Linked DNA regions of Drosophila melanogaster. The protein of the gene in region 2 interacts with the protein of the main gene of each other region in a pairwise test. Each region holds a gene or a part of one and is shown on either strand. Other genes may lie near its edges. The genes, in order: Tpc1 and CG10068.

What was found.
Region 1: the proteins of CG10068 (region 2) and Tpc1 interact in a two-hybrid assay, tested with the Drosophila melanogaster proteins (one large-scale study listed by BioGRID).

Annotation. Positions count from the first base shown.
Region 1 is NT_033777.3:10,880,307-10,884,232, reverse strand, and holds the start of Tpc1 (thiamine pyrophosphate carrier protein 1), read left to right. Parts: upstream 1-2,044; 5' UTR 2,045-2,670; intron 2,671-3,126; 5' UTR 3,127-3,228; coding exon 3,229-3,926. Other genes in the region: CG14696 (uncharacterized protein), read left to right, coding at 319-686, 746-1,277, 1,341-1,699.
Region 2 is NT_033777.3:7,125,903-7,129,828, forward strand, and holds CG10068 (uncharacterized protein), read right to left. Parts: upstream 2,126-3,926; 5' UTR 1,921-2,125; coding exon 1,671-1,920; intron 1,571-1,670; coding exon 870-1,570; 3' UTR 369-869; downstream 1-368. Other genes in the region: CG10098 (uncharacterized protein), read left to right, coding at 1-243; CG31248 (uncharacterized protein), read left to right, coding at 3,618-3,660, 3,723-3,775.

The DNA.
Region 1 (3,926 bases), 3.8 Mb from region 2:
AAATCCCATTAGCAAGCTAAGTGGACCCTAGCCATCGGTTCAAATTCAAATAATCAAATATTTCCTAGGGTATCAAATAGTCGAGCCTTAGCAGCGCTTTAATTTGATGGTGAACTTTATTAGGTAGCATTCGTTTTTTTTATGCTTCTGATTAAATTATTGTTAGTTCATTAACAAAGACAGTTGTTTGTAGCTGAGCAATTTTCCAATACAATTCTACATCCGAAACACACAAAAGGTCCAAGGTCAATGGCAATTAAACTAAATGCATAATTGAATTACATACCCGGCAGTACAGACAAATTAATCCAATTGCAGCGATCTTTATAACCATAAATGGATACGGCGAGACGCGTTGGCAGGAAAGCGAGGAGCGAGTGGGAGAGGATGGGAAGACGACCAAGTCCCTGGTGACCCACACCACCACCGAGGTCTACTACAGCACTGACCAGCCGGTTTACGGCCAGGCCGGTGGCTCGCAGCTGGAGTTGCCCACCGGCAAGTACGTCTTTCCCTTCCGGGCTACCATTCCGCCCAATGCACCCACCTCATTCAATGGTGCTCATGGTCAGATTAAGCACGAGGTTACCCTAACCATCGATCGCGCGGTTCGCTACAACAACACATTTAAGCAGTGCTTCACGGTGATCCTGCCACATGATCTTAATAGGCGGCTCGAGTATAAGGTATGTAGTCTTGGTTGTTCTTCCAAACTGAATAACCTTATGAAGCGCACTTCCCTTAGGAACCCCTCCAACGCTTGGAGTCGAAGAGCTTCTGGTGGGGCTCCATTTTCGGTGCCCACAAGCCGATGATCATGGACGTGAGCACCTCTTATTCTGCCTACGTCCCCGGCCAGAAGATTCATTTCCATCTGGTGTTGGACAACCAGTCGGATGTCCAATGTATGGACGTGAAGGTGCGTCTGATCAAGAACGTCTCATATAGAGCCAACTCATCGGGCGCAAAGGAGCAGTTGAAGGTAACCGAATCTCGGGTGGCGGACAAGCACTGCGGTGAGGTGCTGAAGCACAACAAGGCCAAGTTCGATGAGTTCCTCACGGTGCCGCCAACTACTCCATCCACGCAAAGCGAAAAGGATCCCATTCGAGTTAGCTACACATTGCGATTCATCGCCAAGACCTTCAAGCTGCACGGTGGTGGCGACTTGGTCATGGACTTTCCAATAACCATTGGCACAGTGCCGCTGCTGGGAAGTGCTGATGACAAGGGGCCCGGGGCGGAGAAGTCCCAGCCCAGTGGTGCCTCTCATCCAGGTGGGTTTTGCACTAAAGAAAGCATAATCGAAAGTGTTATTAATCGACGTTTCTCCGGCTTAGGCTCACCCAACTTTCAGGAGGACGTCAGCGATGAGCAATTCGAGTCCAACACCTTTAAGCCAAGATATCCCGTCTATCCATTTGATGGGAAGCCTGGAACCAATGGCTCAAACGGGGCAGCTAATTTTCCCAGTCTTTATCCCAAGGCAGAGGAGGCGCATCCTGCTACGCCTGTGAAATTCACACCAAATCCTGTGTCGCCAGCCGCACAAAAATCGCCACCATATACGACCAACACACCTGTTGCTTCTCCGCCAGGCGGTAATTTTGAGGTGCTTGGATTCAGTATACCACCAGACTATAAACCCACGCCTAGTGCTCCAGCCGCCTCTTCCACTGGCGGCATTGGGTGGAAATAGGGACCATAACTTAACCATTTTGTATTCTACACCTTAAGGCATTTTTAAATATACAAGAAAGCCCGCATAAGTGGCAACGCTGTGCATGTGACAGCTATATTAATATCGATAGTTAGTATCATTTTAATCCTAAATGGCCTTTTATTAACTCGAGTATAAACATAGTGATCTGGTTTCAGGAATTATGCTTACTATTAAAAAATATTTATGTTCCCAATTAAGAAAACCCTAAAACTGAATTTTAGCTTCTAGCTATTTTCTTACTATTGTTGTCAACCACGATAGCCGATAGTTGCCATCGCTGTTCGCTAAAAGCTCATCGCCAGCGGCTCGAACAGCTGATTCCGTGCACTTGGCGACGTAATTTAGTTTGTTTTGTTGTTGTTGCGTAGAGGTTTGAAGCAGCGCGTCTTGAATTCGGAAAACCAGTTTGTGGAAGTGGGAAGCGGCCAACTTGGACAGCGGCAGCAGGGGATTGACACAACTGCAACGGCATCTCAACGGCGGCGCTATTACAAGTCTGGCGAAAAGAAAGTTTTGACGCAATCCACGGGCCGCCGCCTGTAATGAAGAAGCGTCGGCGCCGCAGTCACTGCTGCACTCTGCCCGCGAACGGACGCATCTGCTCCAGGTGAGCTCAGATTGTAGTGCGCTGCTCTGGACATTCAGCAACATCATCATCATCACCATCGAGCGTGTTGCCAATGCCTTTGTCTCTTTATCTGAGCAGCAGCATCGGAATTTTGGGAACTGGACAACGGTCGCCGAGACATCGAACAACAAAAGCGGAAAAAAGTGAAATCGCTGATAAACCCGAATACCAACCGAGCTATTGTCAATCAATGAACGGCCGTTTGAACCTGGAGTCAACTTGGGAGCTCTGCGAATTGGCGGGCAATTGGCCATAACCGACCGAGATAATAGTGAAGTAATCGCAGAGACATACGCACGCTCCGTGGAGCATGATACTTGTAAGTCTCATCCTCAGATGAATTCCACTCCTACTATTTCCCAATTCCTGTCTACGCACTTGTACACAACAATTTGTCCATCGACTTTGATGAATGTGTGTAAACAAGTCGAAGTTTGCGCCCTGCCGCACCTCTAAAACGTTTTGAATGAAAGCTACAGGCAAGCTTTGCTAAGTCGGATTTTCGAAAACTCCATCTTTGATACCAGTAAAACCTAGCATATTTCATTTTTATCAAGAAACAATCTTAAGCTTTCTTTTTAACAGCATCTACCTTGAATTTCACAAGAGTCAAGTAAATTACAAGTAACCTTCAAAACAAATTCTTTATGATAATATATAAGCTATACCTATTAGATCCAGCCTCATAGAAGTTGCTAAGTCCGAGTTAATAGTTGCATCTACATAGTTCCGACTGTAATAACGTCTCCACCTGTCTGCGTTTCTTTATTTTCAGAAATGCCATTGAAAAGTTGGCAGTCGCAGCAATAAAAGTGAAATCCGCACGAGCAAACATACGCACACGAAAAGCAAAACCAAAGGTAGCTCCGACGCAGACATGGCGGTAACCACAGGCTCCACCAGTGAGGCGACCACAACCACAACTCCCGTTCCGCGACGCAAGCACAGTACGCGGGAGCAGCTGCATCAAATGCTGGCCGGTGGACTTTCGGCGGCCATTACGCGCTCCACCTGCCAGCCGCTGGACGTGCTAAAGATCCGCTTCCAGCTGCAGGTGGAGCCGCTGGGCAAGAACGCCGCCAAGGAGGGACCAGGAGCCCTTACCTCCAAATACACATCCATCGGACAGGCGGTGAAAACCATATACCGCGAGGAGGGAATGTTGGCCTTCTGGAAGGGACACAATCCTGCCCAAGTGCTGAGCATAATGTACGGCATTTGTCAGTTCTGGACGTACGAGCAGCTCAGCCTGATGGCCAAACAGACCAGCTATCTGGCGGATCATCAGCATCTATCGAACTTCCTGTGCGGCGCTGCGGCCGGAGGAGCAGCAGTGATCATATCCACGCCGCTGGACGTCATCCGCACTCGTCTGATTGCCCAGGACACCAGCAAGGGATACAGGAATGCAACAAGGGCTGTGTCGGCGATTGTCCGCCAGGAGGGACCTCGCGGCATGTACCGCGGTCTGTCCTCCGCCCTGCTGCAAATAACGCCGCTGATGGGCACCAACTTTATGGCTTACCGCCTGTTCAGCGACTGGGCGTGTGCCTTCTTGGAGGTGAGCGATCGCAG
Region 2 (3,926 bases):
TTCGTTTTTGCCCCAAATCCGAGGATCTCGCCGCTAACCCAAGTGCAAGCGGAAGCGGACTTGACGTTGCTGCACAAGCTACACTCGCAACGCAAGCCGGCCGCCTTGGAGCACTTGCGCAGCTTGGAGCTCTCCTGCGTGGACGAGCTAAATAACTATTTCTCTCTGCAGGATCACGCCAGTGACGAGCTGGACGAACTGCTCAAGGACTGTGTCGAGGCGGAAGTCAAGTTCTATCGCTAGACCAACGAATACTATCTATATGGATACTCCAAAAACTAGCTTGCAAGCTCTATTGAGCATCGGGATTTGACTTGAGCATTCTTATGGCATTACCAAATAGGCTTTAGTCGTCAAAATATTTTCTTGTGCAATCTCTACTGATTTTATTTCGTTTAGTTTTTATGCTTTTGCGTGATATTTAAATTATTATTTATTCTGTCTCAGTGGGCAATCTCCGACTTGAATTTAAAGTATTATTGTGTGACATTCCAGGCTTAGTTTAACGATTTACATACTTGCATTCAAATATATATGAATACATATACAAATATACATTATATATGGCTCTCAAATAAACGCATAAAATCTGCATTTATACAAAAATTAAAAGGGCTTGTCGTATTTGGATACTTATTTTAGGATTCCTTTTTTTTTTATTACAAAGTGATTTAGAAGCGAAATGAATTGATAATTTAAATTGAAAAATGACAAGATAATTATTTTATTTAGCCCCACTCTAAACATGTATTTACAAAAATGGTCAGCCTGATCTGATTCAATCAATTCCCAATATCGTCAGAGTTAGAAATTATTCAGATACAGCGAGATACAAATTCATTTTCACATTAATTGACCTATTCGTGTTTTTAGACGGATTCTACAACCAAATTGGTCTTAAAAATAGTGCTATCATTGTGCAAGGCCTCTAGTTTTGTAATTTCAAATGACTGGTAAATCTCGCGGAAGTCCATAATGTTTCGTGGGTCGCTCTCCATCCAAAAGCGGTCAAACTCGAAGAACAGATAGCAGTACAACTTGTGGAAATCCTCCACGGTGCTAAAGTCCTGTCTGTGCTGCACCACCAAATTGTAGAAGTGGGTTTTGGCGGCGCCCGTTTTCACTAGATTGAAGGCCATGGAGGTGAGGTTAATGCCGACAATGGCGTAGGTGTAACCCAGGGTGGGATGCATCGAGTGCAGCAGGACATGTTTGGCGGCGTCGTTATAGGCAGTTGCAAAGTAGAGAAGGTTCTCTAGCCCGAGCATGCCCATTCCCCGAAAGTCCGTCTTCGGATCGTCGCCCTGGAAGCCGATGTCCTGCCACTGTTTGGTCACGCGACCGGTGAGGGGAGTGTCTGGCATCAGCAGTTGCCACAATCGCAACAGCTTTTGCTCGTGGTCGAGGTTATCCGAGTCGTATTTCTCCGCCCGCAGCTGTTCCACCTGATGCATCAGTCTGCGGTAGCCCCAGATACTCGTCACGCATGTGCCGAAGAGCCGAGCAAAATCCGGGTGGACATTGTTCTTGATGCGTTTCGCCTGCATCACAATGCGAGCAGCGCGAGGAGCTGAAAGTATTGGGTAATGATTAATAATATTTAACTTAGTGTAAGCTTGTAATGATTATGGTGCTTTGTGCACAGAGATTATACTATTCCTTGGACTAACCGAAATCCAGCAGCTCCGCGTTGCTCACATATGGCGCCGCCTCATCAAGGTCAAGTACAAGTCGTCGTATCTGCGGCCTTTTGGACAATGTGAGGGACCTTTCCACCTGGCTGGTTCGGCTGGCTCCGGCCTTCGCTCCATAGCAAATCCTCTGGAGCTCCGAGAGCCTGGTGAAGGCGTGCAGGAACCACTTTATAAAGGGCCTTATATAGCTAAAAATAAAAGGCAGTATTCGGTCGAGAATAAACATTTTACTAAGGCGGCGAAGAGAACTAATTAGATTTCCCGATTTCGTTTGTTTGCGCCCGGTTGCCAGGGCAACACATCAGGATTGGCTTTTGATCACAGCCTTATGTTTCTATCTACTATATTGCACTTTTGAGAGTTGTCTTTAGAAAGCTTTTATGATTGACTCGCAACAATAACAAATCCAATGTATTATTAAAAAAAACCAAACAGCTGATCAGGCAGTGTTGTAAATAGCGGAAATATGGACGGCATTTGAGGTATTCTTGATAACATTCTGAAGTTTTCTTTACTTTAAAGAGGCACTTTAATTATGCCTTAATTCTAATCGTTTTACATATAGTTCTATAATTGAAAATAGATTTTCGAAAAGGATGGAGTCCCCCTCACATGCTTCTGCAACTATTTACTTAACATTCTGCTCAACAAACGGTCACACTGCTGTTATAATCCTAATTGCTTACTAAGAACTTAATAGTGTAAGCAAACTCTGTTTGTTCGTATTTATATTCATAAATTTGACAGAATTGGACGGATTGATTGAAACTCCAATTACGTTCTTCGCCCCGATATTGATTTTGATATATTTGATATATTGAGTTTTCTGAACTTTTCTGGTATTGTTAAAATTTTTCCTGTTTCCAGCCAACTGACGGCTCAACCAACTGATTCTCCAGGACCTCAAATACTTTCCATCAGTAGCATGCGACACATGATGAGTCCTGCTGAACCGGGAGGCTGGTCACCTCAACTATTTCGACTAAAGAACTTGGAACAAATAGAGAAGATGGAAGAGGAAATGAATGATCCCATCAAATCATTGATTTAAGTAAATTTAAACATTCAGTTTGAGCATTCTTTATAAAGTGTTTTCTATTACCTAGATTCAAACCATGCGAAACATTTTGAAACCCGGTGGTTCGGTGGGTCACCCCGACCTGGAGGTTTCAAAAAACAATTTCATCTTATACTCGCCCTAGACTTTTTGGTTGATTTCAATTTTGACGGCATCCACAATAAAATACATCTCAAGGAGTTTGGAAATTTCAACAACGCTTTGTTTATAGCACATACATATACATATATGACTTCTTTTTTAAATTAAAATTCATTAAATTTCAGAAGCTCAAAAGCAGGTAGAATATTTTAGAGATGACTACGTCGCTGAAATCAGACTGGCGTTCCGAGTTTACAAAAATCTCAGGCATAAAAGTGCATCAGATACTCGGAAAAAAATTAAAGAAGCCACAGTCCTCATGGAGCCCGAGGTAAAATTGGAAAAGGCTTTGTATACAGAATGATATAAGAGTACCGATAACTTTTTATTTATACAAGCGAATTTATAGTTAAAAGAGTTGTGGGTAAATAAACAAATTTGTAAATAAGGTCTTTTATTTGTTTATCAAGCTTAAAGCGTGCAATTGCAATGTTACGATTGTACAACTAAGACTAAATGCGCGTTGCATATCTCTGATTATTTTAAAGTGCTCTATTAAGTTCGCTTCGTTGACGGTATCATCTAAAAACTCGCGTGCCCATGCGATTAGATTAGATGGCGTCTATGTGCTAGGTTTTTAAAGCTTCCATTTAAAAATATATGTTGCCTAGTCGTAAACCTGTATCGCTCAGTTAGTGACCACCACTGGACGCGGTTGCTTCTATACTTTGCTAGCTAGCTGGCTGACCGATAAGGCATTGAGAATGCGGATGGAAAACGGAAGACTCTGGGGAACGTTGCACGACGGTGAGTGTCTTGCATACAAATAAATATCCACCACTTAAGTTTTTGTATATCTTTATTTGCAGGCAAATTTGAGGTGCGCAGTGTCACTCACTCCGACCTGGAAGAGGCGCTAGATGTGAGTATGATTCCGAGGGACTCCCATAATCATGCCTATCAGCCATAAAAAAGTTATTTCTGGGATAAAGACGATCAAGAACTAAGCTTAAAGTTCAAACAATTTATATTGCTTGTGTAGTGCAAATTTGATCATCGTTAATTCATCAGAA